5 linked regions of the Oryzias latipes genome follow. The protein of the gene in region 5 purifies or fractionates together with the protein of the main gene of each other region. This does not show direct contact. Links are inferred from orthologs where the notes say so. Each region holds a gene or a part of one and is shown on either strand. Other genes may lie near its edges. The genes, in order: yeats2, kat14, tada2a, kat2a and zzz3.

What was found.
Region 1: the proteins of zzz3 (region 5) and yeats2 purify together in Homo sapiens (affinity purification with mass spectrometry; 3 studies listed by BioGRID, with this or other methods). This does not show direct contact. The link is inferred for Oryzias latipes from reciprocal best matches to the Homo sapiens genes ZZZ3 and YEATS2.
Region 2: the proteins of zzz3 (region 5) and kat14 purify together in Homo sapiens (affinity purification with mass spectrometry; 4 studies listed by BioGRID and IntAct, with this or other methods). This does not show direct contact. The link is inferred for Oryzias latipes from reciprocal best matches to the Homo sapiens genes ZZZ3 and KAT14.
Region 3: the proteins of zzz3 (region 5) and tada2a purify together in Homo sapiens (affinity purification with mass spectrometry; 4 studies listed by BioGRID and IntAct, with this or other methods). This does not show direct contact. The link is inferred for Oryzias latipes from reciprocal best matches to the Homo sapiens genes ZZZ3 and TADA2A.
Region 4: the proteins of zzz3 (region 5) and kat2a purify together in Homo sapiens (affinity purification with mass spectrometry; 5 studies listed by BioGRID and IntAct, with this or other methods). This does not show direct contact. The link is inferred for Oryzias latipes from reciprocal best matches to the Homo sapiens genes ZZZ3 and KAT2A.

The regions. Positions count from the first base shown.
Region 1 is NC_019875.2:23,337,391-23,343,288, forward strand, and holds part of yeats2 (YEATS domain-containing protein 2), read right to left. Parts: coding exon 5,837-5,898; intron 5,500-5,836; coding exon 5,251-5,499; intron 4,596-5,250; coding exon 4,431-4,595; intron 3,710-4,430; coding exon 3,624-3,709; intron 3,176-3,623; coding exon 2,987-3,175; intron 2,688-2,986; coding exon 2,462-2,687; intron 2,241-2,461; coding exon 2,082-2,240; intron 1,812-2,081; coding exon 1,696-1,811; intron 1-1,695. UniProt on the Homo sapiens protein: Chromatin reader component of the ATAC complex, a complex with histone acetyltransferase activity on histones H3 and H4. YEATS2 specifically recognizes and binds histone H3 crotonylated at 'Lys-27' (H3K27cr).
Region 2 is NC_019859.2:453,135-459,577, forward strand, and holds the start of kat14 (cysteine-rich protein 2-binding protein), read right to left. Parts: upstream 3,934-6,443; 5' UTR 3,772-3,933; intron 2,168-3,771; 5' UTR 2,013-2,167; intron 1,945-2,012; 5' UTR 1,908-1,944; coding exon 1,655-1,907; intron 1,552-1,654; coding exon 1,430-1,551; intron 1,370-1,429; coding exon 1,248-1,369; intron 1,138-1,247; coding exon 464-1,137; intron 394-463; coding exon 1-393. UniProt on the Homo sapiens protein: Component of the ATAC complex, a complex with histone acetyltransferase activity on histones H3 and H4. May function as a scaffold for the ATAC complex to promote ATAC complex stability. Has also weak histone acetyltransferase activity toward histone H4.
Region 3 is NC_019871.2:10,131,559-10,138,204, reverse strand, and holds the start of tada2a (transcriptional adapter 2-alpha), read right to left. Parts: upstream 3,749-6,646; 5' UTR 3,648-3,748; coding exon 3,623-3,647; intron 3,233-3,622; coding exon 3,126-3,232; intron 1,605-3,125; coding exon 1,545-1,604; intron 1,464-1,544; coding exon 1,372-1,463; intron 1-1,371. UniProt on the Homo sapiens protein: Component of the ATAC complex, a complex with histone acetyltransferase activity on histones H3 and H4. Required for the function of some acidic activation domains, which activate transcription from a distant site. Binds double-stranded DNA.
Region 4 is NC_019866.2:6,155,816-6,162,409, forward strand, and holds the start of kat2a (histone acetyltransferase KAT2A), read right to left. Parts: upstream 4,263-6,594; 5' UTR 4,229-4,262; coding exon 3,959-4,228; intron 3,717-3,958; coding exon 3,593-3,716; intron 1,664-3,592; coding exon 1,518-1,663; intron 677-1,517; coding exon 587-676; intron 499-586; coding exon 317-498; intron 237-316; coding exon 45-236; intron 1-44. Other genes in the region: rab5c (ras-related protein Rab-5C), read right to left, coding at 6,593-6,594. UniProt on the Homo sapiens protein: Protein lysine acyltransferase that can act as a acetyltransferase, glutaryltransferase, succinyltransferase or malonyltransferase, depending on the context.
Region 5 is NC_019875.2:4,200,690-4,206,587, forward strand, and holds part of zzz3 (ZZ-type zinc finger-containing protein 3), read right to left. Parts: intron 1,940-5,898; coding exon 1,801-1,939; intron 1,630-1,800; coding exon 1,482-1,629; intron 1,382-1,481; coding exon 1,269-1,381; intron 649-1,268; coding exon 577-648; intron 1-576.

The sequences.
Region 1 (5,898 bases), about 19 Mb from region 5:
CCCATAGAAGAATTTTTAGAACAAGCAGCAGATAAAAAGCCGGGACAGGGAGCCATTTCTTTACAGAGAAGAACAGGCAGTATTATGAAGAGGGTTCATGAGAATGCATGCAGAAACACACGACTGACAGTCAATAAAGAAACCTTGCTGCTGTGAATTCCAAACAATCTCCAACAGAAATGTAGAACAATGACAATGCTATGTAATTCCAACTACCGTAAATTCCGGACTACAAAGCGCACCCGATTACAAGCCGCACCCACCCACTTTCACGTGTTTAATTAGTTTTACACATACACAAGCCGCGTCAGAGTACAAGCCGAGCATGTGTTAGGCGATATTGTCATCCTGACAGATCACGGCCAGCATCCCAGAGTGAGTGCAATTCATTAGCACATTGTGGGTGGTGCCAGCTTTGCCTCAGGCTCATGTATTTGAGTATCGACATCTGTCAAACAGCATGGACCTCTATTCTGTTCACAAGTTCCTCAGTTATGGTGTTTTTATTTCATTTTTTTTTTTACTTATTGACAATCTAGGTATCATACATAAAATTACAAACAGTAACCATATAATCAACATTACATCCCTCAGTTATGATGAGGAAATTTACATCTGCGATTCCACATTTCCCATGAGTCTTAGGGGCTAAAGGCGGGGCCAATGCCCGGCTCGCCATTCTGTTGTACGTGTTTAAGAATGAGCAAGTATCAGCAGTGCATGGAGGGGTGAACGGGAAAAGCTCTCCTTCCGCTTGTGTCGCGGCAGCGTTATGGGAGTAACAGGGCTGGTTAAAAAACACACCGGTAAAATACAGCAGCGGCGACTGACTGAAAAGCGCGCGCCTCAGCGTGATACGCGCGCCTCAGTGCGGCGCGTGCGTCAGAATTCAGAAGCCTCTGCGCTCCGCTCCCGCCCCGCGCGCTCCTTGTCTCCCCTTCCTATCTACTCTGACACCTCTGGCCAGGGCGGCTTCAAGGAGGAGCACTTCGTCCCCGTTGCGCCGGTGGATGGAGCAAATCGTTTCAGTGCAAAGCAATCGGACTTAATACTGTACGTTTTGTGTATGAGGGGCGGGTGCGTTGTTACGTGGGACTGCCATCGGCCCCGCAGCTCAATCAGCAGGAGATGTCTCCAGCTCACACGGAGGCTGTGAATTTTTCAAAGCAAAATTCCGCTTTTACGGTTTCCTTAGAAACCGTAAATGGAGTGTAAATTCACTCCATGCGCTGTTCTCTCCGTCACGCAGGAAACCGGCTTTTCCAAACCCGTTGGTGACGGTGGACTTTTTTATGCTGCTTTTAACGATTGCTTTTAACTTGAAAGCTTCATCATATTGTAGCGGCGATCACGTGCACGTTGGGTCTAATGGCACCAAAGGGTTCTGGGATGCGGCCGGGCATGCGTGTTTCGTTTTGTTGAACCATGACTGAAGTGTCTAAGACCTGAAGTCAAGTCCATGCTGTTTGGCTGCTTAAAGGTGTGTTGAATATAAATGCCTTGTGCTTGGTGTTAGATAAAGAATTCAAACTATTCACTGAGTTCGAAAGTACGTACATGGCGGCCGCTAATTAAATCCATAAATTAGCCGCGTCACTGAATAAGCCGCAGGGCTGTAAGCGCAGGAAAAAAGTAGCGGCTTGTAGTCCGGAAATTACGGTAGTTATTTATATAAAAAAACAAGAGTGTAACTACCTGTGGGGTCTGTTTAAGGATGTAGGATGTGTAGGACAGGTTTGAAGTAAGATTGCTGGAAGAGGAGCTCTGGGAACCTCCTGCGCCTCCAGAGGAGCTGCTCTGGGACTGCTGACCTTAATTCCACGCAGACGACAGGACATTTTTAAATCAGGTAAACAATCCTATTACACTTTAATATTTAGTAATCAATCAGCTTTGTGGTTCTCAATTCATAAAAGCATAAAACTAAGATTGATAAAGTGAATTGTTGGACAAAAGTACAAACAAAGCAGCTATTTAAAACTAATAGGATAATAAGTGTGTAGTATAACTGAAACAGATCTAAATAATGTGGAGGTTTCTTTGTACTTAAAGGCATAAACATAAGTTTGAGGATGTCTTACTTGCACTAGATGCTCGGAGAATGGCTCCCTGTGGTATCAGCAGCAGCTTTCCTTTCCCTGATGGGTTCTTACTGTTGGTCGTCAGATAAAGTTTGGTGCCAGGAGGCAAATTGGCCAAATTCGCCAAGTTGTTGGCTGGAAGCTGCAGAGTAGCCATTACTGTAAAAAATACAAAAGACGGTGTACAGATCAAGGTAAAAGGAAGAAGGGTGTAAAACCAAAAGTGTCTGATTTTTCAGAAAGGTGTTTATTTACAATTCAAGGTTTACAATATTACAGAATCTAAATGTTTGAGATAAAAAGAGCTAATTTCCTATAAGCTAAGATGTAAAGGTTTATCATAGTGAATCTAAATGTCAGTCATGTCTGTGAGTTCAAACCTCCACTTTTGCCCCCTGAACCACCAGCTGTCTTGGCGCCGCCCTGCTGGCCTGACAAGGCGCTGCCTCCACTGACGATGGCTTTAGCAACTCCCTGAGCCAAAACCTGCTTGCCTCCCATCACTTTGGAACCGGGGTTGCCCTTGGCAACCAGAATTTGCCCACTGCTGATGGCAACTTGCTTAACCGAAGATTGAAGTGTGGAGCCAACAGGAATCCCCAACATCTACAAAGAGAAGAAGGGGAGAGAGAAACAAATGAAAAGAAATGTTTAGGAGTTACTGTGTTTGGGAATGAAAAATAATGATGAGTGAGAGCAAGAAAAAAAAGACTGCAGTACTTGATCTTTCAAAAGTTTAAAGCCTGAAACAAGTTTTTAAAACATTATAGATCTTATTTTTCCTTGTTCCGTCAAATCTCATCAGACTGTTTTCTTTTGGGATCTGGAAGCTAAACTTGGCTTTTTGGACGCAATTCAGGTAGATCCTCCTGGTTACTGTCTGGATCTATGCAGGAATGTCTGACCTTGCTTGTTGTGGACCCTGTGGCTCCTCCGGCCTGTTTCTGAGCCGTCATGGAGATCATGTGACCTCCTTTCATTGCAACCAACTGGTGAGCTGCTGCAGCAGAAGGTTGCTGCTGGCTGGTTACCGTGGAAACCATCTGCTGCTGCTGCGCTGTTGAAACTTCCCCTGGCTCCTGTTTGATAATAACCTGAACAAGAAACACAAGAAATGTTTTAAAAGATGACTGTTCTTGCAAAAAATAACAGTCGCTTTTGTGAACATGTCGAAGAATGTTGGACTAAACGGTGACAGGACTAAAACTGTATTAGAAGAGAATTTCAAAGTAAAATCACAGAATAATCAAAAGGATGGCAACAAGTGGCAGCGCAATCACTTTACTGCAGGCTGTCAAGACATTTGGTGTGAAGCTGAACCGAGTAATTCTCTCTACAGAGCTTCCCACACCCCCACCCCCATCTTCACAAAGATGCCCTATTTAAATAGCTGCTGAAGGGCTCACATCTGCAGAAGGCAGTTCCCCAGCCTACTATTAATACACACTGCTTTGCTGGAGAGGCAAATGCTACAGGGACAGGCTGGAGGATGGATAAATCCCTCAAAAAAATGTGCTTTCGTCTAAAACGTGGCTAACTCACCTTCACTCCTGAGGACAGCAAGGTGCCGGTGTGAACTTTAGGTGCTGGGGAGCGTGTGCCTTGACCCTGTTTGCTTGTAGGGCTTCCTATGTAACAGAATATGGACAAAAATGAGCAATAACTTTATTGATAATGCTAAAGCGGACATTTAACTGCACTCCATGTAGAAGTAGAGCTGCAGGTTCGGAGAATCGACCCCACCCCCCCATGACACTCATATCAACATAATCCTGAGGGAAATCATTACTACCGCTCCAATCCCAAAACTAGATCTGACTGATGTTTGAACTCGTGGAGGAAGCGTAGGAGTGTCTAAGTGGATATAATAGCACAACATAAGAGAAAGAGCTCCAATGGTGCAATGGTTACCCAAGTTTCTGATGTGTAAAATAGATCTGTGATCATGAAGCAGCCTGCACTCCATGGAGCAAAAAAGTACTTCTAATTCATCTTTTCTCAAAAGAGCAAAAGGATTTTTAAGATGTTCTCCTGCCCTGATCATGAACTACCACAGCGCTGTTGCCATGGTAATCTCAGAGCCAGCAGCTATTCTGCTGTTTCACCTCACGTCACTCATTAGAAAACGAAACCCACAGACAAAAATACTATCAAATATTTTTTAAAATATTAAAGAGAAGAACAGACAAGAGGCTTTGGGTGCAGAGATGTGCAGAAAAAAAATCTTCCAGATTTGATCATTTGCTGTACTTTCCATTCTCTGTAGCCATTAAACGTTTTCAAGGGCATCTTAGAGGTTTGCTTTTAAACTCTGTGGAGCATCGGCAGCACTGACAAAAAGATTTGTACCTGTGGGCCCAGCAGACGAGGAAGTCATGCCGATCATTTGGCCAGGTTTGTCTACTATGATATAAGGGTTGTTGAGCACAGAGGAGCCATCCTTGGTGTGAGCGGGGGTGGAGGCGATGGGTGTGCGAGGCAGGGGAGAGTGGCTTGGGGTGGAGATGGGGGAGCCTATAGATGAGAAGATGTACCAGTAAACAGATACAGAGTAAATCTTTTGGTGTTTTATATGTCAAAGATATTGGAGGAATTGAAATGGAAGAGAACTTGAGGGCTAAGATAGTCTAAAGAACATCAACTGTTAATCACACCAATTTCATGAAATATTTTAAGCTTTTAACACCTCTAAATTTGACTGTTCTTTTTCATGGGGTGCTTTTTTTTGGCAGCTCATCTAGGACTTCATTACTGGACCTCCTCATCAGATGTCTCCTTTAGCTCTTAAGGGGGTAGGCTTTCCCAAGAGAACACTCCTAACCATAATCAGTCCATTCTGGAGCCCTACGTGTCTAAACTGCATCATGACCCGATACCAGACAGTTGGTATTTTGGGTACCCAACATTTATGATCTCAGATGAGGGTTAGAACATAAAAGACAAAAAAAGGTTATATATTCAATTTATTAATGACAAAAAAAATCACTTTTCTTAAGAAAAGTGTCTTTTCACTTAATTGTTGTTTGTAATTTGGTGGTAAATTTATCAAATAAATGCTTTATTACATGTGAAACACTGACATAATGAAATATTTTATTTTAGTGACTAAGCTCAACTTCTGAATAGGGCAGATATAGCTGCTATAAAAAAAACTGATGGAGACACTTGCCTGAAACTATTTTACAGCTCATGGTGATGGGTTGGAACAGTTTCCCAGGAGATTCAGCGGGACTGGGTGGCTGTCCTTGAGGGACTATCTTACAGCTGGCTGTGATTGGTTGGAAGGCAGAGTTGCCATGGGAACCCAAAGTAACCCTGTCACCAGTTTTGGGACGTGTTGGAGTGCGCTCACCAGCAGCAAGAGAAAGACCTGAACTAAGAGCAACTGCAGCACTTCCCACTTCTGCTTTAATCAAACCTGGAGACAGGAGGAGAGACTGCTTTAAAACTTTGTTTCTACCTCGTCTAAAGTCGGCACAAAGCAGTTGGCATAATGTTATCTAGATCATCATATCTTTCACAATAAAGACTTTCATCTAGGATAGACTGGGGATAATGAAAATGCACGTAAGGTGCATCAAAACAAACAGACATAGATGGTGGATCAACCTGAAACTGCATTGTCAAAAATCCACCCATAGGACTTTTAAGTCGCCTCTCTAGCAGTTCTGATTTACCCCATAAGGCTAAAATCCTTCAATGCGATCCATTTTCATGGTCATGTTCCAAAGCTATTTTTGTGTCTGTTTTTGTACCTTTGTCTACACTGCCGTCATGGGAGATGGGGGAAGCAGATCGTCCGCGACTCTGGGCAAAG
Region 2 (6,443 bases), on a different chromosome or scaffold from region 5:
TCTGCCTCTTGGCCTGGCGGACCAGCAGCTTCCGGCGAAGACGGCGGGCCTGCGGCGTGACGGCCAGCGCCAGCGGGCAGGCGTCCAGGCGCCGTAGCAGCAGCCGCTCCTCGTACAGGCTGACGGCGACGCAGCGAGGACTAGCCACGATGTCGGCGGCCGCCGGCGCCCTCCTCCGCTCGGCCCCCCCAGACGGAGAGGGAGGAGCTTCCTTCCTTCCTCCCGACTCCTCAAAGTCTTCGTGGCGCTCAGGACAATCGTCTTCCTCGCTGTCAGCTTCTCTTTTGATGTGAGGGGGGGCGGAGCAGACCTTCTTGCGGCCTATGAGGGTGGCGCTGGGTGGGGGGGCGTACTCCATTCCTGGATCAATCATGCCGTCCACCTCCTCGTCATCTGCAGGAGGGGGAGGTAGGTCATGACATCATCATCCATGCAGCAGCGCCTAGGGGGGGCGTCCTCTTACCGTGGAACAACGCCTGGGGGGGCATGACGTCAGGAATGAGGTCCGCCTCCGACAGCAGACTGGGCGTGGCCGACTGGGAGGCCGGCGTCCCTGGGGCGGAGAAGTCGGGGGAGGGTGACGGAGACCGGCTGGTGAGAGGAGTCCGGTCCGAGGAGCTCAGCGAGGAGAAGTCGATGACCTCCCCCTTCTCTAGGACCAGATCGGGCCGCCGCCCGGCCCCCCCGCCACGGCCCCCGCCCAGTTTGACGGGCGTGGAGGAGGCACTACGGTCGGGGTATCCTCCCACCGCCTCCTTCTGTGCTCGACGGATGTCTTTGGCCTCCTGGGTGCGAGAACGCTTCTCCTTCAGCTGCATGGCGTTCTCCACGGCGTTCCGGGCCCCCCGCTTCCTCAAGCCCTCCACCGTGATGATGGGGTCCAGGACGGGTTTGGACGCTGCGGACCACAAGCAGCTGAGCAGAGACGTGGAACCCCGCCCTCTGCGGACTGGCTGCGCCTTACCTTTGGTCTTGGCGGCGGACTTGTCCACATCGGGCCTCAGGGTGGGGGGTCGGTTCTGGACCAGCTTCCACCAGCCGGGTTCTCCAAACTCCTGCGCCCCCGAGCGGAAGAAGGTGGGGCTGCCGACAGACAGGCAGCCGGCCACCGTGCTCCACCAGGTGGAGGTCTTCTTCCTGCAGAGAGACCGGGTCAGCGCCGGCGGGGGCCCACCTGTGCGGAGCCGCACAGGTGGGCCCGGCCGGCGGGGGCTCACCTGTGCGGCGCCCGGCCGGCGGGGGCTCACCTGGTTCCCAGCAGGAAGTTCCAGTGCCGGCCGATGAAGGCGCAGATGTCCTCCTTCCAGCGGAAGTAGCCCTGCCGGCCCGTCCCCTCCAGGGACAGGTTGTACATGGCCAACATCACCACCTGTCAAACACACACCTGTTCAGCCCCGCCCCCTCCCTCAGCGGGGTTTCGGGGGTGTACCTGCTGCCAGGTGAGCCGCATCCTCTCAAAGCTCTCCTTGCCGTCCTCGGAGCAGCTGCAGCAGGTGAACTTGAAGAAGTTGTCTCCTTTCAGGTAGCTGGGCTGTTCTCCTCGGAGCTGAGCTGCAACAGACACCCGTTAGAGCCCCCATCGCCATGGCAACGCTGCATGCAGCTAGGCTTAGGGAGCAGGATTTGGCCACGCCCCCTGTGGTGATGGGCTCACCTGCAGGGGTCCACTTGTGACAGCGCTCGCAGTAGAAGGACATGTCCTCGCAGGCCCAGCCGCCCTCCCCCTCCTCCCCCAGGTCGCTGGTCAGCGAGTCCCCGCTCTGGTCGTGGGACAGGTCCACCGAACCCTGATCCTCCGACTCCACGATCAGCAGAGTCTCCCCCTCCACCTCCCCCTCCTCCAGCCCCTCTGACGCCGACGTGCACGTCACCTCGTCCGCCGCCAGGGGCTCGCCGCTGCTGTCCATGTCCGCCCTCAGCCGCAGCGCCACCTGTGGGCCGGTCCTGTCGGTGCAGCGGCGTGAGCTCACGTCCCCTCACAGCCTCCACTCTCTCCGTTTCACAAAACATACCTGCCTCACGTGTCCTGTGGGCGGAGCCTGGCCTCAGCACGCCGCCGCTCCTCCTCCAGGTGTCGGGTCAGGACCTTCTGCTGCTCCAGCAACCGCAGGTTCTCCTTCTTCCTCTCCAGCCGCTCCAGATCCCGAACGACACCCTGGTGGAGGCGCTGCAGACGCCGGAGCAGAGGGGAGGAGTCAGTGAAAACGACACCTATTGGCCGCTGGCTGCTCGCGGCACGAGACGCCGGCATTAACAGGAGAGCAGTGATCCCTGGACCCCTCATGTTCTAGTGTAGAACCGGGTCCAGTCCCGGTTCAAATTCCTCCACTGCAGCGGCTGCAAGTCTGCATCCAGAACGCATCCTGTCATAGCCAGAACTGGGTCCAGAACAAGAAGGTTCTGTGTTCTAACGTTCCTCCTGCAGATCAGGAGCTGCATGCGGTTTGAGTTCTAGAGTTCTGTCTGCAGATTAGAGTCCAGAATCAGTCCAGCGGCTGTTCTGATCCCAACCAGACGTTTGATCCTCTTTCTAAAAACGTCACTAAGGATGATTTACAACAAAGTCCCAGGAGTGAAACTGATGGAAGCCCCCATGAAAGTTCTGATAGATGGGGGGGGCATGTAGGCGGGTCTGTGGTGTTCAGAGCCGGTCCCCCCCAGTTCTTCTTTGGACAAACAGGTGGAGTGGACGGCCCCACGAACCGCCCAGCATTTTAGAAAACAGAGTTTGTGTCGTAAAATGCCGTACTTGAACTGTTTGTGTTTGGTGCTTTGGTTGGTCTGGGACCGGTTCTAACATGTGACAGAACCATGTTAGCAACAAATGAGCCCAAATAAAATTAAAGTTAGTCAAAGGAAATGTGACACGGTTACAATGATTTAAGGTTAAAATGTCTAATAAATCCCAAGATAATCCAAATGTTGTGATCAGCATCCGTCTGAATGAAAAGAACAGGAAACTGTCATTTATGGAACAACAGACAGGGCCCTAGCATGGACCCCTGTGGACCCCCGTGGACAGACAATGGGCATTCTATTTGACCTGAATTCTATCACTTTTATTGAATTACCGGAAAGCCTGAATTTAATATTTGAATCTTTTTTTTCTACGATTTATGGTGTCGAACGCTCCAACCAGCCCTCCACGATTCCAGACGACCGTCAGTCCAGGAAGAGGGTCAGCCGGCCCTCTCCTGGTGGGCTACCTGGATCAGGTGTGTTCTGCCAATCAGAAACAGGCCTGATTCTAACCAGCATCTACTGAAGCAGGGTTGGTGGTCCCGGTCCAGAACTTTAGGAGCTCGACGTCTCAAAAATAACTCACAAACGTGTGGGCATCCCTGGAGTAGGAGGTCGGTTCGAATCCCTCAGGTTCGTTTTTGGAAGGGATTCTACTAAAATCCTGAAACACTCTGATAATAACAGGAACTGACACAATAAAACGCGTTTAACTTCAAAACCAGAAAATCAGCACTGAAGTCCACTCAACCGGAAGTCCGGGGGGAGGTCCCGAGGTCAGTCAGCATATATTTACATTAATGTTTATCACAACCATAACAGTCCAAACATAAACAGAAAACTAAATTTAAGAGAACTCTGCTTCTGTTGAACTTTTATTTTTGAGAGTGTAAACCGGAAGCTCTGGATAACTTGACGGACAGACGTTTTGGCATCAGCGTCAGCAGCGTCCGCAGACGGCACGCTGATGCTTATGGCCTTAAACCGGGTAAGCCGTTAGCCTCAACGCTACCGGGTGTTGGACCGGCTCACCTCTCGGTCCCAGGCCTGTTTCAGGTGCACAGTCGCCACGGTGCTCAGAGTCAGAACCACAGAAACTCCCAGAACCACTTTGGAGGTCACAGACATCACGGAGGGTTCAACTCAGCGCGAGCCCGCTGCAGCTGCCGCGTCCCGCTCTTCCTCTGCGCGGCTGACCGCTGAGCTGCGACGCAGCGCCCCCAGCGGCCGGGAGCGCAGCGGCCAGACTTTTTTTAAAAACTTTATTGTACAAACACAATTTTACAAGATAAATTTTAAATGTGCCAGGAGAGCATGAATATTACATGCATTTTACATAAAAACATTCAAGTTTCTACAGCGTTCATACTGACATTCACTGGTTAAGACTTTAAGAGATGGAATTGAGAGACATTTTACTCTGATTAACACGGGGAAAAAATAGAAGTTGAAGAGAATTTACATTTATGAATATCAAATTTGCCAAATATAATATAATTATTAGTTTTTTAATTGAGTCTAGGTTTTTTTTATGATAGCCATAAATATTTGAAAATATTAAATGTGGAAGTATATTCCAAATTTGTTGTAGTTTTTTTTAGGTAAGATTTGATCCAGTTGATCCATGTGTTATTTAGTGTTTTAAATCCAGAAAGTTTAGTCCTCCATTGTCATATGAGTTCATTAAAACTGATTTTTTTAAATAATGTACACGTTTTTTCCAATTAAAGTTAAATAAAACTTGTAAACAGATTTTAGTGGTTGACCGTCGGCATACAGAGATAAAGCAGAGTAGGTGAGTGGAGGGATTCCCTCTGCCTCTGACAGCAGGACTCTGCCCTTTAGGCTCCCAGCGGCCAGACAACCGGACTGAGCGCGTGCGACGTGACGTCATCTGAGAAAATAATAATAATAATAATAATGGATTGGATTTATCTGCGCTTTTCAAGACACCCAAAGTTCTTACATTGTGTCCATTATTCATTCACTCCTCATTCATACTTGGTGATGGTAGCTACAGTTGTAGCCACAGCTGCCCTGGGGCAGACTGACAGAGGTGTGGCTTTCGCGCCTACGGCCCCTCTGACCATCACCGGGATCATACATGTGCATTCACACACCAGTGGAGCCACACTGGAGGCAAGGAGGGTGAAGTGTCTTGCCCAAGGACACAACGACATTTTGGCTGGTGGGAGCGGGGATCGAACCGCCAACCCTTCAATCATTGGACGACCCGCTCAACCACCTGAGCCACTGTCGCCCCTGCAAAATGACTTACTTCCAGTTTCAACCAAATAATGTTTCAGCTAAACGTCATTTCTGTTCCTCTGCTGTCTTCTATTGGAGGAAACGTCTTCCTGACTCGCTCTGGAAAACTGTTTGGACCCTGCATCAGAAATGATGAATCAATATCATGAGAGACGTCTACTACAGACTCCTACATAGAATCCATCCCATAATCAATACATGATCAGATAGAAGAAGACTATTGACCCCAACTGTCTTCTCTGTAAACAACAGAAATGCAATATTACTAAAACATTTAGGAAAGAATGTTCACGTTTTATAAATCATAAATATGACTCACAATGTCGGATGAAGTTTGAGTTTATCATATTTGGTCTACATGAAAATAAAATAAGATCAAACGTATAATTGGCAATAATCTAATTATAATATTTAGTAGGTTTAATATTCACAAATCAACATTTTCTTCATCACAAATATTTTCCCTGTAATAATTAGAGAATTAGAATCTTATTTCTAATGGCTTAAACAAAAACGGTATTTATGAAAACTGTCTTTGAACATTTTCAATGCATAGTAATCTGTTTCTGCAATATTTCTTTGTAATACATGTACCTGGCATTCTCATTGTTATGACTATTGTTCTCGTCATGCATTTTGGTTTTATTTGTTTTGAATAATACAGTGAAGAAAAAAAAGTTTCAACCAAATGAAGTCAATTCAGGCGCCATTTTTCCAACACCACGTTGGAACCAGACGTCCTCAGTACGCCGGCTCTGGTCTTAGTCTACGTTTCCATGGAGACCTCTCTCTCCTATCAGTAGTGAGCATGTTAGGAGGCCACACCCCTTCCACTGAAAGCAGGCTCAGAAGAATCTGTCAATCAAATGCTTTGAATGTTCGACATGAGGCCGCCTACTTTTATTCAGGAATCTGATTGGTCGGTTTATAACTTGAACTACAGAAAAAATATTATTCAAACATGAGGATTTTGGGATGTGAAAGTTTTGGGATCCAGACGGGTTCTGACCAATAGATGAGGGAAGAACAGCTGTTTGTTTCTCTGTAGACGTCTGTGGGATTTGTGGGAACTTCCTGTTTGGAACGCCAAAGGGGAGGGGCCACTCAGTCCCGTTCTCTTATACAGTCAATGGTTGGATCTCACTTCTGCACATGACCTCAAAGCAAACACCAGATTGTGGTCTGGACTGGTTCTGGATTTTGGGAGCATTTCACGGTTCTGGTGGACCTTCAGGCGGGTCTGAGTCTGGATCACCGCTGACAAAAGTGAAGAACTCAGCAGAGACCGGGTTTTATTAATCATGAACAGAAACAGACGGACGTCTCACTGTACAAACAGAGAGTAAAAATAAATAGAAACACAGCAATAACTTAGAGGACGACCCGGCAGACGGCGGCGCTGCATGGCGCCGGTCTCCATGGTGACGGTGCAGCCT
Region 3 (6,646 bases), on a different chromosome or scaffold from region 5:
CATCTCATTGGTCAAATGCAGAAAGGGATTCTTTCAATCCATTAAACACTTCAAGCTGCCATAAGATTGTTTGGCCACATCTAAGGTAACCATTTATTGCAAATTTGCTGTCTTTTGCGATATGCATATTGCACAGCTTGATATTGCGATAACGATAAATTTGCGGTATATTGTGCAGGCCTACGTACAAGTAATAATTACAACGCACTAATCTTTATTAACAAATAACCGTAACAACTAACTACTATCAATGAACTAACTATATTGGTGTTGTAGAATGAGTATGTGTGTGTCAGTGCACTGTGTGTGTAAGAGGAAGGAGCACTAGCAGTGCAAGAGTAAGTGACAGCCTCCCTCTAGCGCTGCACGCTCTCCCCTCTTTCTTACACACAGGGCTCGTGGTTTCAGCACATACACATCCTCATTCTACAACACATGTTTCAATGTGGGCACATGCAGCTTATGGACAGGTGCGGCTTATGTATGTACAAAATGTTTTATCCTTTAAAAATGGAATGGGTGCGGCTTATAATCAGGTGCGCTCTATATCCAGAAATGACGTTAATCTGTTCCTTTTAAAGAAGCACATTGCGACGTTAATAACAACACAAACAACAAAACTTTACATTTCTACATTTCTATCCCCTCCTTAACCCAGCTCGGTCTCAAGCTTACGTTTGTGGATGTCTTACTTCAGTTCTCTGCTTGTATTTTTTAAATATCCCATTTTTAAGCTTTTTTTTTCCAATCTATGCAACTATGCTTGTAGTTTCTTTCAATGTACTGTCCAGTGAGTTGCATAGATTGACTGCATATAGTGATATGTGTGTCTATTAGTTGTGCGTGCAAGTGGCAAATTATATTTCCTCCTGTCGCTATCGTCTTATGAAACAAAAGAAAAAACGGATTGAATGATGTTTGGGAGAATTTTCAATTTGGCTTTTAACATGAATAATAAAGTTTTTAAAAAATCAATTAAATTATTAGTGAATTCTCTGCTGCCTTTTTGTTGATTATACTAATTGCTTTTTTCTGTAAATGAAACAAAGGCTTTATATATATGGACAGAATATGCTTTTCCCCAAACTTCGAGGCAGTAACTAAATTACACTTAAATTAAAAAACAATATAACCACTGTTAAATAATATTTTCACCAATCTTCTTTTTTAAATAATTAATGTGAGATTTCCATTAAACAGCAGAAATGACTTGTAAAAATTGTCACATTTTGAAACCAAAAGACAATGAAACTAACATGACACCAATGATAAATAGCTAAATGATAAAACATTAAAAACTTGCTTTTTGAAGTTAGTAAAAATAAGTGTATTCAAAAAGAAAACACTGGTAAAATGTCTTCGACCTCTTACCAGTTCCCAAACCCGCAATCCATGACTGCCTCCAGCAGAGCCATCTCCTCCTGCGCCGTCCATCCAGGCTCCAGCACCGGGAAGTCTGAAGTCTGAGTCGAGGTAACACAAAAGATGCCCGCTAAACATGATGTTTAGCTACACCCGAGAAACTCAACTGCAGCTCCACTCACCATGATTTCATATCTGTGATCACTCTGATGCTTCTTGTATTCAAATCCTCTGGTAAAACACTGGAACGAAATAAGTTCAGGGTAAAGCTGGTCAGGTAAAAGACACGATTTGTTCATTAAATAAAAGTTCTTTGAATGCACTGAGGAGGTTTTCTTAACTGAGAAAAGTAAAACTTACATGCAAATTAAGTGAATTCATAAATTGTATCGATATGACGACCATGAAAGAAGCAGCAGTTATAATGTGGCTTATTTTTCAAATAAACCCAATCGTAAAGATCTGGTCATTTATTTCCCCATTAATTTAACAGTGAAGGAAATCATTTTGCAAAATAACAAAGTTCTAATCTAGAAAGAAAAAACAAGTGCATTTTTGGAAGTAACTAACAAAAGAATTTGTATTCAACACAGGTGTGTGAGAAAGCACAGTATTAAACCAGGTTAGACACAATTTGACTTCATCCTTTTAAATAATTTTAAAAGATTTCATAATATCAGTGTGCTATAAAACTATAATAAAGCGTCACTTTTTAAGAAACACATTTAGAAATGTGATCAACAACATTGTAATGTACTTTTAATACCCTTTTACTACAGAATGTAATACTATATTTAAAAACTGTACTTATTAATATATAGTTGATATATTTTATAGATACAAAATTAAATATGTCAATTATTTTAATTTTTAATAAAATTGTATCTATCATAGAATATTTGTAACAATAGAAAACCCTAGAAAATGTAACACTTAACACTCATAATAAAGAACATACATACAAAACATTATTTGGTTTAGCAATACGATCTAATGCTATTTGAACAAATTCAAAATTCAGAGTGCAAAAGTATTTTAATTTGTGCTACATGATTTTTTCTCAAATGTAATAATGTTTCTAAGGCAATAAATATATTATTTAATAATGGATGTAAGACTTACCGTATATCCTCCAATAATAGCCCTGACATTAATTGAAGACCAGCCACTATTGGAAGATATATGGTATTGGCAATGTAAAAAATAAATAAAACAATTGTTAAGAAACAGGATAATCAGTGGAACATGAAAGAACTGGACGGAACACCCTGACACCTCTTTATTATACACTGCCGTGGGATGGCATCATGTTCTTTCATTTGAATTTTTTTTCTCAAATCAGGTATAGTAGTTAGAAATCTGTGGAAGGCGATCAGTGCTGGGCGGGCACTGATGTGGAAACCTCCAGAAGTTCCAAAAATAAGGGTCAATCAATGGCTACAGAAATAAAAGCAGTTTGGCTATTTGGAAAACCTTGCATACCTTCTGCTGCTCATTGCACAAATGCGCGTTCCTCACAAATATGGACTCATTTAAAATATAAAGCAAACTAATTTTGCAGAAGTCTAACATTTATTGCCAAGAAGTTTTGCAACAACAACAAGGAAATACTGGGCTAAAAAAAAAAATCGTAAGGTTTTGTCCAAAGTGTTTAAACTGTGGTCTGTCTGCGTAAAGTTACAGCTGAGTTATTCGGTTTGTGTTCAAACACACATTCTAAAGAGCCAAAACAAACAAATTATAAGCATCCTCATCTGGCTTACCTGAAGACACAACAAAAAAGGTGAAGGTCCACATTCTGCGCACTTGATGTATGGTTCGGTTAGATGGGATGAGCAGCCTCTGCAAGGCGGTTTATCAAAGGGGTCATCTAAAATGAACAGAATAATTATATATATATTATCAGTAACAGTTTTAATAGTAACAACACGCAGTTAAAAAAGATACATATAGCCTAAAGTCGTGATTTTGGGGCAAACTTGAATGCACAAAACAGATGTTATCTTGGGCGAAGGACTAGCTTTACTAGTCGAGCTTGAAAATGATGATAATGTTGAATGTCTCAACAACAGGTCGAATATTTTCAACAAATCACTGCGGCAAACAAAAATAGCATTGTTTTTGACGGCGATGCTAATGCTAAAGATAGCTTAGCAGACCTTGCTTTATGGACAAAAACAGCTAACCTTCCAAAAAGTCGATGGATACTTGGTAAAACTGCAATAAATTCAACTGTGTGTATAATAATGCCAATACGTACCTGAAAAAGACGCTATTCGGTCCATTTAATTGCTATTTGCTTCTCAATAACAACACCAAAATTGAATTTGGGTCGATCTGTTTTTCAGAACTCGGCTATGTGCCTGATGACGTCATAACTAATCGAGCTCCGAATATCGATAGTTTTGGTCGTGTATCACCACACAAAATGATATATATACTATTATGTTTTAATAGTTGTGTGCCATGTCCTCATAGGTTCTTACAAAGGCAGAAGAAACTCAAAAATTTGAACAGAAAACAAATGTTGTTTAAAAAAATGTATGAAATATATAAAAAAGCCACATGGAATATTGCATTTTAATGCAAAATGATTTTTATAAAAAGGTATTTCATCTTTAACTTTCTTTTCCTTCTCTTAAGATTTTTGTTTTACATTTATTTTGCAATGGGGAGAGATTTTAACTTGTTTTTAGTTTCTCCATCTCATCACCATGACGACAGTACTTCCCTATATTGCCACAAGGTGCTGATCTTGCTCTATGTCTCTTAAGGCAACAATGAGCACCCTGAAAGCCTTTGTCTCCCTCCCAGCACAGATGATTACCTGAGGCTTGCATAAGCATCATGTGAGAAATAGAAATAAAGATGATGAATGTTCTGTGTCACAACACCCCCATGCTGCTTTTTGTCCTCCATAAACTTTTTGCAGAGGTGCTGCCTGGCCTGCAAAAGGCTTCAAGACATTTTCTTTAATATGAAAACCAGCAAATATTTATGAGTACCAATGTTTTCCAGTGCCTGTGTCCAGGTTTGGCACCCCCAATTCAAAAACAGCTCAAACACCCTCAAGAGCATGCCAGTGAGGGCCCATGAGGAGCCTTAGGAAAACAAATATCTGAAACCCTAATGCATAAAACTGCAAATCCACATGTGCCAAACTCACTTAAAGGTAGAAAAAATAAGTATTTGAGTGAAATGACTGATTTAGTACAGATGTGGCTGGAAAAAGGACTGTTTGATTTTCATGAAACCTCTTAACCTCTCTGCAGTTACTAATTATGACAGTTTTTATTCTAATATTTGCATTTCTGTCATTGATACCAGAAAATCTGATTCCTTCTTTCTTTGAGGTGATTCAGAGCAAATATATTTAGACTGCAAATCCCCACAGAGGATGAGGGCAGCTTCCTAAACCACATGATGGGTTAACTCTGAATGGGCTGCTCTGTTCCAGCTTGCTTGAGCCTTCTCTGTGAGTTCAATACATCCTGATTGGTCTGTTCGGTAGCATCCTAGCCTGCGACTCATCTCTGGAGCCTCTAGGGAGAGACACGGTTTTTAACGATAGTCTGTGTATGTTAAGGAGATGCACGCACACTCTTACTCTTTTGGAGGAATTTCCAGCTCACCGTCATACTAGCTTGTAATCATCCTTTGAGAGGGTCATGATTTATTCACCTATGAGGAGAGACTTCTCCTTTTTGTGTAACGGTTTGCTGTTGTGTGTTGAGCCAGAGTGAGCTTCCTTTTTTGTTCCTGGCTGCAGCATTCACACCACATGCCCACAAGTGTGTGATCAAACGTGGCTATAAAGGCCACAACTTTTCAGGACTATCTCAGCAGAAGAGCCCTTCTATCAACTGTTTGTTTCACTAAATTATTAAATTCGGAATAAATTGATCAGGAATTAGAAGATTTTTGGATGTCATTTATTATTGTTCAAGTGTTTTTTTTAAAACATTTCTCTATTCAAATTTAATTGATCCAACATGCACTCAGTATATTTGTTTGTTATTCTTAGAACTTTGTAAAGTTCATGCTTTTTTTGTTTTAAAGGTCTATTTAACAGCCTTAAAGATTCTAAGGAGGCCTAAAATCGGCTGAAATGGCATGAGACCAATCTGGGGACTTTTTGAGAGATTTTTACGGTGACCATAATAATTTATCTTTATAACCGTTTTATGTGTCAATTTTAATATCCATTGTTTTAGTAAAACCCCAGATTATTTTCTTTCCTTGATATTCCTCATCATATTGAACAGCAATTTCACCACAAACCTGAAACTGACCTGAGTGGTAAAGTTAGTCCTTTTTTACTGCAAAAAAAACATCAAAAAATGTAATCAAATTGTTTTTTTATGTCTCATGGCAAAGCTTGAACATATACAGACAAAATAAAAAAATTATTTTTCCAAAAACAAAGCAAAGATATGATCAAAACAAAGAGAAAAATGTCTAATAAAACCAGACAAAGCTCCACAAAGCTATATGTTTAAGGGATTTGTTTCAAGGGGTATCTTAATTATGTGTCATAACAGTTGTCATGATTGGTCTGAACCAAAAGTTTTAAAGCTAAAAACCTTTTGAAAACCTTCATTTTGGGTGAAGAATATGCTAATGAGGGATCATTGTCATTCCTATGTCATCGTAAACAGCAAATGTGATTGTCCTTCCTACTACTGATCGTTAAATTATTCTGTAATGAACTTACTGTACAAGGCATAAAATGTTCATTTTTTTCTGCTGGGATGCTGGCATTTCATAGATGTGTGTTGGCTAAAAGACACGTCTGTGCCCAGCAGTTGCATTTAATTAAGTACAATTGTATGTGTAAGGACCATTTGAAATGTCACGGTCAGGATTTGCATTAGCACACAGTAGGAATTCACATCTTGGCAGGAAATGCAGAATGAATGCATTTTCCATACGGACAGTAACAAAGAAAAGCGTGTCAGATTTGTAGAGAGACGTGTGTGCTCCCCTGCGATGGCCTCTGCTTCAGCATCACCGCCTTGGGGGGAGGCACAGGACCGTCTGACTCTTCATCCCTGTTCCACCTCCTCCCTTCCTCCGGCGCCTTTACGCAGCAAAAATCTTTTTCTGCTACAGCTGTTTGCCAAAATATAACTGAAGCCCGACTCTTAAAATAAAAAATGCCCCCCCTTTAGTGCACACGTCTTTTCTTCCAGCAAATGCACCTCCCAGCTGCTGTGATTTAAATATAAGGGCCCCGTGAAGAAAAGAGGGCATCTGGCACACGCCTTCAGGGCCTTGACAAAAA
Region 4 (6,594 bases), on a different chromosome or scaffold from region 5:
GGATCGGGAGTCCAGCAGCCACGCTTATGAAACTGGGTCCTTACTTGGGGAAATGTGTGAGGATAAGTGTGCGTTTCTCTGGCAGCAGTTTATCTTTCTCCACTCGGAACTTCTCCAGGAGCTGGCGCCGGGTCACCGTGAAGATGGACTTGAGTAAGTTTCGCCCAAACACCTGCGTGGTTTCGTAGCGCGGCAGGCTGTCGTTGCTCTGCGGGACGTGGCAGTAGCACAACCACCTGGCAGGCACGGCAAAATGAAACGGCGCTCCCTCAACATTGATCAGAAAACCTTTTTTGTTCTTCAACAAGCCACACACCTGGTGTAGTCCACTTTATATGGCGCCCCGTCTTCCTTTTGGGTGCGCTGGCGGTATTGCGTCGGCGTCTCGAGCTTCCAGTAGTTCAGACACAAAAGGAACATCTTCGACAGCTCAAACATGGTCTGCCTTTCCTTTGGGGCTAGGTGGCTAAACTTGTACTGAACAAAATTCAGAACTCCCTGTGAAAACAAAACAACACAAATCAGGTAAGAATGCTCAGGTTTTGCTAGCAGCTAGAGGATCTTGGTGAGGAGTTTCACCGTTTACCTGCTCAATGTTGGGCCTTTCAAAAGGAGGGGTTCCCAGAGATCCCTCCACAACAGGCTGGCTCATCTGAAGGATGCATTTCCTCAGCAGCTAAACCAGAAAGACAGTAATCAGAAAAGAATGTGAACAATACGTTTTTTGTTTTAAGGCAAGACAAGACAAAGCAGTGCGCAGGGATTAGAGCAGGGGAGACCAAACTTTTTTGCTCAAAGGCCAAAAGGGCGTAAATCTAAATGTGATCCCGGTCCGTGGGCCAAATTCAAGACTTTTTTGCAAGTCATGAAATAAAAGAAGAGAATAAAGAATATAGTTTAGGTTATTTATTTGTATTTAGTATTTTTCAAGGCAACACACATTAGTGAGACTTAAAAGTTAGTAACATTTTTCTTTGAATCTCTCTCGATCTCCCACTCTCGGCATTTAACGCCGAACCTTCGTAGCTAGCCAACGTGGCGCTGTCCCCTGCTGCCGAGGGCATCTTGAGGGTGGCTTGCTGTGACAAAAGTTTAGATTGGAACTCTCTAGAATTTGTCTTTTGCGCCTCACCTTTGTGTTTGGATAAAACTGCGTGTTTAGTCTCGTAGGGTCGGCGTATATTGTACTCTTTAAGTACAGCCACGGACTGCTGACAAAGAAGACTAACAGCCTGAGAAGAGATTTCTGGAGAAAAATAATCCTCCTCCCATATTTGTTTAAAATGCCTCTTGTCCGTTTGCTACTTCCGTTGTCGCTCCATGAATGAATAGAAGAGGTTAAGGGGTTTTAACTGAACACTCCGTGGCCTCTACAGGCTTGGTGGGCCAAAAGACGACCTTTGCTGGGCCATATTTGGCCCCCTTGGATTAGAGAATAAAACATCAATTTGCCCCTCACCACTTCCACCCAAACGCTCAAAAAAAACACCCCAAAACCCATAGAACCATAACGCTACCTTGAAGAGGTAAAAGTACACTTGTTTGGTATCAGTGTCCTCCTCTTTGTGCACAGACATGAACAGGTTCTCCACGTCAACCACCATGCCCAGCAGCCTGTTGATCTCCTCCTCAGACACATTCTCCAGATGAGACACGTGCTCCGCTGCAAAACAATTACCGTACAGTCAATGCATATGTTCTACTGGGATCTCTTTATATTTTCAAAATTGTACTGAAGTTTGGGGAAACGTAGAAATCTGTAAATACTGCAAAAAAGAGCTATCAGAACAATTGACGTACTAGTTTTTAAAGAGATTCTTCTCTTTCAAAAACAGTTCAACTTAGAGCAACATTGTAAAAGTATTTTAAAAAGATGTGTGCAGCTAATACATTCTCATCACCACATGTGGCTCTTATTCCCCTTCATTGTGGCTCTTTGGCTAAAGTAAAAAAAAATTCATTTGAAAAAGTAACTTTATAGTAAAAAAATAATAATTAAGTAGTAACTTAAAGAAAAGTAAAATAGACAACCTCAAACTCTTTTCAAACAGGCCAAAGACAGTACGTAACACAAGTCAAACTAAAACATTAACTAAAAACTGAAACACGTTGAGCGCCGATAACCACAGAAAATCAATCGGAGGTCACCAAGCACAACCAGAATTTAGAAGCACTGGATTATAAAGCAGATTTTTTAATTCTTTTAAAACAATTCTTATTGATTTTAAGTGTACGGTACCTTGTGGTTTGAAATATACAATAAGGGTTACTTATTTAGCTCTTATTTAAATTTAGTTTGTTCGATTTACTCTTTTCTGGCTGAGATGGACCCCCAATGGTAAAACAAAGTGTGTGACATTACACTACCAATAAAAACATTAGCTGCTTTGAGAGGATCCTTTGTCTAAGGTGTCCTTTATTGAAAGGAAGTCATATGAATCTCGGCCAAAAGTTATACACCATTTCTCATTTTTCTTAAAAACAAACCCAGATATTTTCTCTTTGTTTATGCATAAAAACAACATTATATATATGCTGCTGTCTAAGTATGTAGCCAACAAGGGGGCCCAAGTTTGGGTCCCCCTGTGCCGGTCCCCAGCCCAGATAAAAATACAGGGTTGTGTCAGGACGGGCATCAGGTGTAAAAACGTGAAAGTTGATTCAATGTGGCGACGCCTGAAGGGCTATGTTGAAAAGTGAACAACAGCAACAATAACAAAAATACCAACTAATGTCTTATTTTTTAAAAGGCTAAAGTAAGACTTTGTAGCTCCTACTGGGTTGTTGTTGGTTAGAAATCCACCAAAAGTGTTAAAAGGTTGCAGACCTCTAGACTACACTATATATATATACGTTTTATCTTCAAACTTGGAAAAACAACTATACATGCATGAATATTGCACCAGAATAATACTGACTGTAAACATGACGCACAATATTAACCGCAATGTTCATTCTTAAAAACCAATTCCAGTAAAAATCTTGTTTTTGGTGTTTTTAACATCTTCTTGTAGCGTTTTTTCTCGTAATGGAGGACATAGATAAAGGAAATTAAGATTTAAACTGAGTTTCTGAGTATTTCTTCATTCAAATTGTGGTAAATCAGGAGCAGACGAAAACATGCCGTTGGAGAAAGCTTGTAATTGCTGCTGTAAGGAGAGCGCGGACACAAAGGGATGATGGGAAATGCGAGCAGGCTCAGTCCGTGCCAACAGTTCCACCCAAAACTCAGGTGGGTTTCTAATGCACGAACACGGCTCTTCAGAAACGATGTCCTAGAAACCCAAACGTTTTTTGATTTAGGCAAAATCTGCCTTATCATAATTACATCAAAAGATAATTGGAATGAGACTTTAAAGTCGCAGTTTCTGCACAAATTTTGCCATTAATCCCAAAGCCAGAGGAGGAACAACTAGTTTATTTTCTGACTATCACAGTAATGATGGGCATGTTTGCAAAGGGCAAACCGTGTATCTTGTGCAGAATCTGTAGTGTCGTCCCTCAGACGCATTAAACAGTGTGATGAGCCCTTCAGCGGTACTGATCTCCTGTTCTTAGTCAGTGGTTTAAATGGAGGCTGAATAGTTGGTACCCAGAGCATGTCCACAGCTGCGGCAGGGCTCGCTCAGGCTGGCTGCTTGCTGCTGCAGATCCAGACGGGTGGCTGACGGTGGGTTTGGGTTCTTCCATCCGTTGCATTTGCATGTGTCATTGGCCTGAGGACGCGAAGCACAAACAGTGAACGGCTATTCAGCGGCCGCAATGACTAACGGATCAATTACGCTAGCTGATGGGTTTGGCTACAGATTTGTGAATATAAATTATTTTTACAACAGTCGATGGAGGGGAATTAGTTGACGTTGCTCCACTTCTACTTTGTGCTCTAAACATATATTTATAAACGCTAATAAATCTCAAGACGGCTCTGTTGTGAACTTTGGCTAGCTACATTAGCTACCTTGCATGCGGAGAACACGCCAAGTTTCTCCAGCTTTTTCGCCCGTGGGAAAGCTCGAACTTGGGCTTTCTTCTGGCTAGCGCGCTGTTGCTGGCTGAGTCCTGGCCTAGCCGGGTCGCTATTGCCCGACCCGGAGCCTGTTGCAGCATTACCGGACCCAGCTGACCCAGCGGACTGGGTCTGTGGAAGCCGGGGTTGTGAGGCCTGCGCTGCCGGGTCCGACATATCCACGCTGCTGCTGGAGACTTCCTCTGTTGCCGTTGATCTCATCTGGTGCCTTCAGGTTCCGGGCAGAAAGCTGGATTTTACAAACACCAAAAGCTAAAAATTCAAATAAAAAATGTACACAGCATTAAAAGCATATTGTTTTAATCGTGAGTGAATAAAAACCTAAAATAAAATATTTACTATTTGAAAGGATCATTTGGCTATTTCTGGAAATTTTAAATGTACAGGTTCCCAGTACTGTAGTAAAGCGGTGTAGTGTCCTCTAGTGGAAAAACATGAAAGCAACACGTAACAAATGTTAGGCTCTATGTCAAGCTGTTCTAGAATGAAATCGGCATCCTTGTTTTAAGCCCAACTAGTAATGCCAAAAGTACAATTATTTAAAACGAAATGCCATAAATGTGAACTAGTTAACTAGTAATGTTTAGAAATATGTACTAGTTTACTAGTGGGCAATACTTGTGCTTACTGGTTGGTTAGTGACAATCTAAAAAGTCAACTGGTTAACTAGCTGCATACACATTTTCTACAGCTCCACTAGTAAGGCTCTTGTAAAGCTCACTAGTTAACTAGTGTGACCAAAATGTTTACTCCCAAACTCTGATCAATTTTTCCATTCCACATTATATATATATATGCACACACACACAAAAGGACAGACCCAGTTAACTGTAATGCAGAAGCTGTTTTTCTGGAGTACCTCTGCTATGGTCCACCTAGTGACCGTTTTAGGTATTGCAACTATGCATACCTCAATGAAGACTTTCAAAATTAAACACAATTATTTATGGAACTATATTGTTTCTTTATGTCTCAAAGAAACAGCTTTTCTCTCATTAAATGTGCAACTTTAAGACAAAATACATATTTTAACAGCAACAACTGTAAAGTGAGACAGTTATAAACAAAAAATGTTTTAAAATGTGGATTTATGCATGTAAAGATTATCAAAATTGTATAAGAAACCAGTCTATTATGAAATGTTTGACACTGGAAGTACTATACCTCATGTCAAAGCAATAACCGACAGGTTATCAGGTAACCTGTAAAGATGTGTGAAATTGTTTTAGGGTTTTAGGGTGGAAAAAATGAGTAGAAACATTTCCAAGCCTCTGAATTTCATTTTAAATTCAAAGATTTTTAAGCTATTTTCAACAAAATCATACATGAAAAGATGTCTACCCTCATTTATTCATGAAAGTAGAATCGTTTTTCCCACAATCCCTCCCTTTCAAGATGCAACGGCTGCTATTTTCCATGGTTGATGCCATATTAGGATGGATGACCCCCCTCCACCACCACCCTCAAAAAAAGTTTAAAAGCTGATGCCTCACTGATGTGAAAATTAAGAACAAAAAAAATGTGGTGAACGCTGGAGAACATCTCAATTCATAAAGATGATGAGACAAAACCAGTGCATTTAATACCAGAGATCTCCAGAAAGAAAAAGAAAAAAGGAAAAAAAAGAAAAAAATCACAAATTGTCTGACATAACATGTACAGATTGGGACGGTGTTTTGTCAAGATCTACATATTGATTATAAACCTGAAGAATCTGTTACAAATAAAGCAATGGTGTCAATACAATAGGGATTTTGGTCAAGAGGACAATTCTTATTTTTACACCGATGATTCAAAAAACATTAATGCTAAAATTACAAACAGGTGAAAATGTTAAAGTACTTTGTACTCCATATGGTTTGAAACCAGGTGATTGAAAAACCTCTGAAGTCAAGGTTTTAAAATCAAACAGATCCATCCGTGTCAAATAGTATAGAACTGGTGGAAGAAGAATCAATCAATCTACAGAGATCCATCAAGAAAATCATCTGTCCAGCCCTTTAGTTCTGGTAAAAGCCTCATCCTTTTTTTGGGAAGCCAATCAGGAGCAGGACAGAACATGCACCTTGATTTGTACCCAATGACTGGATGGAACCATTTCAGATGCATGTGGAAAGTGAAAACCAATAAAATAAGAGGGGCCCTACAAGCCTGGTTTTATTCTTTTTTTGTTGTATCCTTTTTTCTCTCTATACAAACAGAAAAGTGAACAAAGAAGGCGCAATTAAGTGCCATTAGTCATGAACGAGATCGTTGTTCTTCTCTCAAAGAAGACATGAAGAGTCCATCAACTGGAGGCGAGATCATTGGGCGAGTCCAGAGGTCACAGGTCGAATTCAGAAAGCAAAAGAAATGGATTTGTTGGTCTGTTGGTTTGAGCCATCCATGAGGTCCTGCAGTGTACTGGCCAGTCCACTCATTTTCCAAACAATAACTTGGTGCTGATGGGGTTGTTGGCCTGACCCTGCTTTGGTTTGACCTCTGAGGTATTGCCGGACAGCTGGCTAATTTCGGGTCTGGTTGATCGAAGCTGTAGATTGGATGGAGGAGTCGATTCATTGCAAGTT
Region 5 (5,898 bases):
AGGTTCCCGTCGAGAACTGCCAGTTCCGGCTAAAGATGTCTGAGTGGATCTTGTTGTTGGCAGCCAGGTCCCCTCTGCACCACGACTGCATTGACATCAAGTCAGCAGTGAATGATGGAACATTTCCTTTTTTTTATTCCTTGTGAATAAACATAAACTTGTAGAAAACATCAAATAATCCGAAGTGTTTTGAGGGTTTTAAGGATTTTGTAATGGACCGCATTTTTTAACAAAAACTAATTTATTTTCTTCTTTCAACTTTTATGAAATGAAGAAGAGTGTTTACTGCAGGTCATTTGTATCCTCTGGAGTATTTACTGAACAGTTACATCTCAAACTGTCTCCATGTACATCTCTGCTGTGCTGCTCTGCACCACACAGACAGAGGAGGGACTTGATTGAATTTACCAAACAACTCAGAGCAAATACAGGCACTGCCACAGACAATGCAGCAAAAAGAGGTTGTTCTTTATGGCCAGTACGCAGCAGACGTTAACAAGCTGCAGCACCCAAAGAATAACTGCATGAGCGAGTAAATACAACCATTAGGAAGGAAGTAATCCTCTTGCCACCAACCTGTTCCTCCACGGTCCACAGCTGGTTAAAAGTGTCAGGTTTATTCGGGTGACAAATCCTCCCCCTGATCATCTGTCAGGAACACAGAGAAAGGCTCGTCAAAGGACTAACAACACAAAGATAATGGGCGTGTCAACATTTGTAAGGATCTTTGCACATGAGCTGCCTGGCACTTCCACATTCATCACTTTGACAGAGAAAACCTGGCTGTCAGATGTGACTCCAGACGGAAGCACAACAAGTCTTCTGACTGTCAGGAATCCTGTCGGAGTTCAGAGAGTTGTCACCCTGAATGCAAATGTGCTTTTGTAGCACAAACAGCAGAAGCAACAGAAATGAGCAGACTGGTTTGCTCAAAGTGAAGACACCTTTGTGGAACAGCAGCAAAAGTGATGCATAATCACAAAGACAGGAGAGGAGTGAACATCGTGTCTCCATGGAAACCATCTTTGATGACAACGTTTTTCAAAATGCCTGGCATTAGGAATACAACTGAGTTTTTTGGGAGGGGGTGTCAGACAGCAGTAACCTGATGATTGGTGAGATGACTTGCAGGAGATTGGTGACTCACCATCTGCAGTTAGAAAGTGCTGCCACTGCATCTGAACTAATAATAATCTGAGACACAGAGGTGGTGACAGGACAGACTGATAACGACGTGCAGAGCACAGGGGTGAGATGCAAACGCATACCTGCGTCTGCAGGCCGTTCTCCGGGGCATCACTGGTGGGCAGAGAGGAGTACGCCGTGGAGCATTCGCCTTCCTTCTTGGGCTCAATGGGGCTTTTTGGTCGAAGTGGCAAACCTGTCAAAGGAGTAGAAAATAAATGGTACCACATGCTTTTGAAGAATAACAAAGCCCTTACAAAAAAGAAGCCTATGAGGAATTTCATGATCATACATGCCTTTGTCAAAGATCAACTTAAGCTGCCTCGTTTTACGCTTCTTGTCGCAGAATTCCCTCTCAAAATCACCAAGGCCAGACGTGTGCTGCTCCCACGCGATTTCAGGGAGCTGAACGACGCGCTGAGGACACGGCAGATCCAGATTCACCTGTGGGGGGGGGGGGGGTCAAAGTGTAAAAACAGACACATGAGCCACCCTGCAGAGCTGAGATGACTTTGCAGTTCTGGACCCAAATTGTTTGCCAAGTGCACATCAACCTTATGTTTTTAAAAACTTTCTATTCTTTTCTGTTGCATATTTTTTCTGCCCCTCTATTACCTGTTTCTGCAGCTTCTCCACAAAGCTAATAGGGTCGACGAGAGCCTCACTCTGCTGATGTGCCAGTGTCTCCAGGTCACGGATGGCCTGCGTGCGCTGGGCCTCAAGAACGCCAATGGTCTGCAGCAGTCTTTGATAACTGGCATAAACAAAGCAGGGTTAGGCTGTGAAGAATGACAGAGCAGCCTACATTATTAAATATGGCACCGGGCTGCAGTGCATGAAACTTTTATATCACTGCCCATGCATAATTCAACAGTTGTGCTAGGAAGCGTAAACAGTACCTCAAAACAAAACCCACTTTCACACCTATTTTGCAATCAAAACATTTACAGAAGGTTCAATGCAATTATCCCGACAGCAGCTGGCAGCTCTGGATCCAAATAGACCTGCAAAACATGTCAAAGACCTGCTTCTTTACAGCCACTTTTCTGAGAAAACCCATCCAGGTCTGCAGCTTTACAACACAAAAACACAACAGCACCGGCCAGATCCATAAACATTTCAGATTTAAAAAGTACATTTCAAAACATTTCCATGACAAATGCAGTGTTCGTAGAAAGTTCAGTGCTTCAAGTTGGCATTTTACGCCCGCAGTTGCCTGGAGCAGTAAAAGAAAATCTAAATGATCCGCCGGGGATGACAGAAGATACTGACTCAGCGGAGAAACAAACAAACAGCCATACAGACGCTTGGTATGTGGTTATAATCCAGAGGATGCTTGGAGAAAACATGACTGAAAATCGAGCATGGACAGAATTGATCCCACAGCTAACCATAAGACACGACACACTAAATGTTGTAATGAGGTTTAAAATCGGGTTTACTCAACCAGCAGTCTGTGACTATGCTGCACAGAATACTATCAGGCATCTTTACCTAAATGTACTTTGAGGCATAGATGAAAGCAAACTCATGTTTCTAGGTGAAAGTCTGGTACTCCATTGCCACCTACTGGACGCCCAATGTAAAGCCCCATGAACAGCTGATCTCTGAGCTCATACTTGATCTTTCTGAGTGGAGATCCAGTGTGGCATCAAAGAGCCAGTACAAAATAAATGGTCAAAGTACAGTGATGCACAAACAAACTGTTTTACAACTAAATCAATTAAGTATATCAGTCCTGTAAATTAAATAATGCGACATCATCCCCCCCCCCACTGACTTGTCTGCATTGATCAGAGGCCTGAAATTCCCCTCACTCAGCACAACCAAACTTGGCATGCGGCTGAACTCTGATCAAATTACCGGCAAATACAGGAGCAGTGCAATCCTGCTCTGAAGGCAGCACCCACATTTAAACATTTCCAATGAGAGGCTGAGACACAGAGCTAAACTGATGGGTCCTTGAAGACCCCCAAAAATGCTCACATTGGAATAAAACGAGGAACCTTTTGGTGTTTTTTGGTGTGTGTGTGTCCCACTCACAACAGAGAGGAATTTCTGATCAACCCCACTACAGTGCTCAGCATAAATGAGTACACACCACTACCTTTAGTGTCCTTTCAGAATCTACATTTTCTCTGAAATACTATAATACAAAATACACCTATAAAGGTGTGGCATTGATTGAAAACAAGATTTGTTATTTGCACACACAAAAAGTGATTTTCCTAACAAATGAATCAAGCCCATGTTGCTAAATGAGTACACCCCAGTCAGAGTCTTGGGAGAAAAGCCAAACTTTAGACTTCAAAATTCTAATGAACAGGCTTTCAACCACAGGTGAGTCTAATCAATTGTCTACCAACAGCTCACTGATTTTCTCTTATTAAACAATTCATTTGATGTTTTCCAGTCAGGTTTTAGACCCCATCATAGCACAGAAACTGCTCTTATCAAGGTAACCAACGACATCCGCCTGAACACTGATGATGGCAAAGTCTCTGTCTTAATCCTGCTAGACCTGAGTGCTGCCTTTGATACTGTTGATCATGGGATCCTTTTGCACAGACTCCAAGACTGGGTTGGCATCTCTGGATCTGCCCTAAGTTGGCTCAAGTCTTAACTAGAAGACAGGAAGTATTTTGTTGAAATTGGGAGTTGTGTCTCAGACTACATGGCCTTGACTTGTGGTGTGCCCCAGGGATCGATCCTGGGACCCCTTCTGTTCAACCTCTACATGCTGCCACTAGGGCAGTTAATACGCAGTAATAACATATCTTATCACAACTATGCAGATGATACTCAGATCTATGTGTCACTGACAACAGGTGAATATGGGCCGGTGGATTCACTCAACCACTGCCTCCAACAGATCAGTGCGTGGATGCAGAACAACTTTCTCCAGCTAAACTCAAACAAGACCGAAGTTATTATTTTTGGCCCACAGAAACAAAGAGAAAGTCTCAGCAGCTACCTTCATTCTCTGTCTCTTAAACCCTCAAATCAAGTCAGAAATCTAGGGGTAATCATGGACTCTGACCTGAACTTTAACAGCCATATCAAGTCAGTAACATCAGCTGCATTTTACCACCTGAAAAACATTGCCAAAATCAAAAACATAGTGTCAAAGCCAGACCTGGAGATACTTATTCATGCATTTGTCTCCAGTAGGTTAGACTACTGTCACCTGCTCACCGGCCTCTCCAAACGAGCTGTAAAACAGCTTCAGTACATCCAGAATGCTGCTGCTCGAGTCCTGACCAGAACCAGGAAGTATGATCACATTAGTCCTGTGCTCAGGTCTCTGCACTGGCTCCCTGTACCTCAAAGAATAGACTTCAAAGCAGCTCTGCTTGTGTACAAGTCTCTCCATGGCCGAGCACCAAAGTACATCTCTGACATGTTAGTGCCATATGAACCATCTCGTACTCTGAGGACCTCAGGGGCCGGCCTCCTGTTGATTCCCAGAGTCAGAACTAAACAAGGGGAATCAGCGTTTCAATATTCTGCAGCTAAAATCTGGAACAGCCTCCCTGAAGGCGTAAGACAGGCCTCTTCTGTGTTCATGTTCAAATCTAGACTTAAAACATTTCTGTTTAGCCGTGTATATGACTGAAAGGTCCTATCTGCACTTTTCTTTCCTTTCCTTCCTTTATTTTTAAATCAGTTTTCAAATTTTTTTTTTCTTTTCTTTTAAAGTAAATTTTATGTTGATTATTTCTATGATGTTTTGTGATTTTAATGCATTTTTCTGTTTTGTGAAGCACCTTGAATTACTTTGTGTATGAATTGTGCTATACAAATAAACTTGCCTTGCCTTGCCTTGCCTAATGATTCATTTCAGGTGTCCAGCACACAGGTGACTAGAAAAGGGCATTTCTTAACAAAGAACAGCCCTTCCCATTTCATGCTGTCAGCACTGGCTCCCCATGGAAAAGAAATGTCACAAAACTCAGAAAGAAACTCATTTCTTTGCACAAAAAGGTGAGGGCTACAAGATCAGCAAAGCTTTACATATCAGTCAAAATACTGTAGCAACAGTGATGCAAAAATTTAAGAGAGATGGAAGTGCAACCATCTCACAGAGACGTCCAGGCCGTCCACAGAAGCTAACATCTGGACAGGAGCGTCTCCTGATGAAAAGGGTTGAAGAAATTTGCTGTGCAAGTTCACTACAGCTAGCTGAAGCAGCAGAACGCCAAACTGGACGAACGGTTTCCTGTGACGTGTTATGGTCACACTGCAGAGGAACGGCATTCATAGTTACCATCCACCAAGGAAGCCTCTCCTAAAACCATGCATGAAAAAGCACGCCTAGCATTTGTTGGGCCCATGCTGAAGAAGATGAAGACTACTGGGACTCAATACTCTGGAGAGATGAGACAAAGATCCCCGATTTTGGAACTAATGGTTTGAAAACTGGATGGCGTCGCAAAGGTGAGGACTTCAAAGGAAAATGCATGCAGTGAAACACGGTGGTGGCAGTGTCCTAATGTGGGGCTGCATTTCATTGATGGTATCATGAACTCAACAATGAACTGCTCTATACTGAAGGAGAAAATGCTGCCATCACATCATTGGTTGCTGAGCACTTTTCCACCACGACAATGATCCAAAACACACGTCTGAAGCTGCTGTTGCATTTCTGAAGAACAACAGGCTGAAGGTGACTGGACGGCCAAGTATGTCTGCTGATCTGAACCCAATCCAACA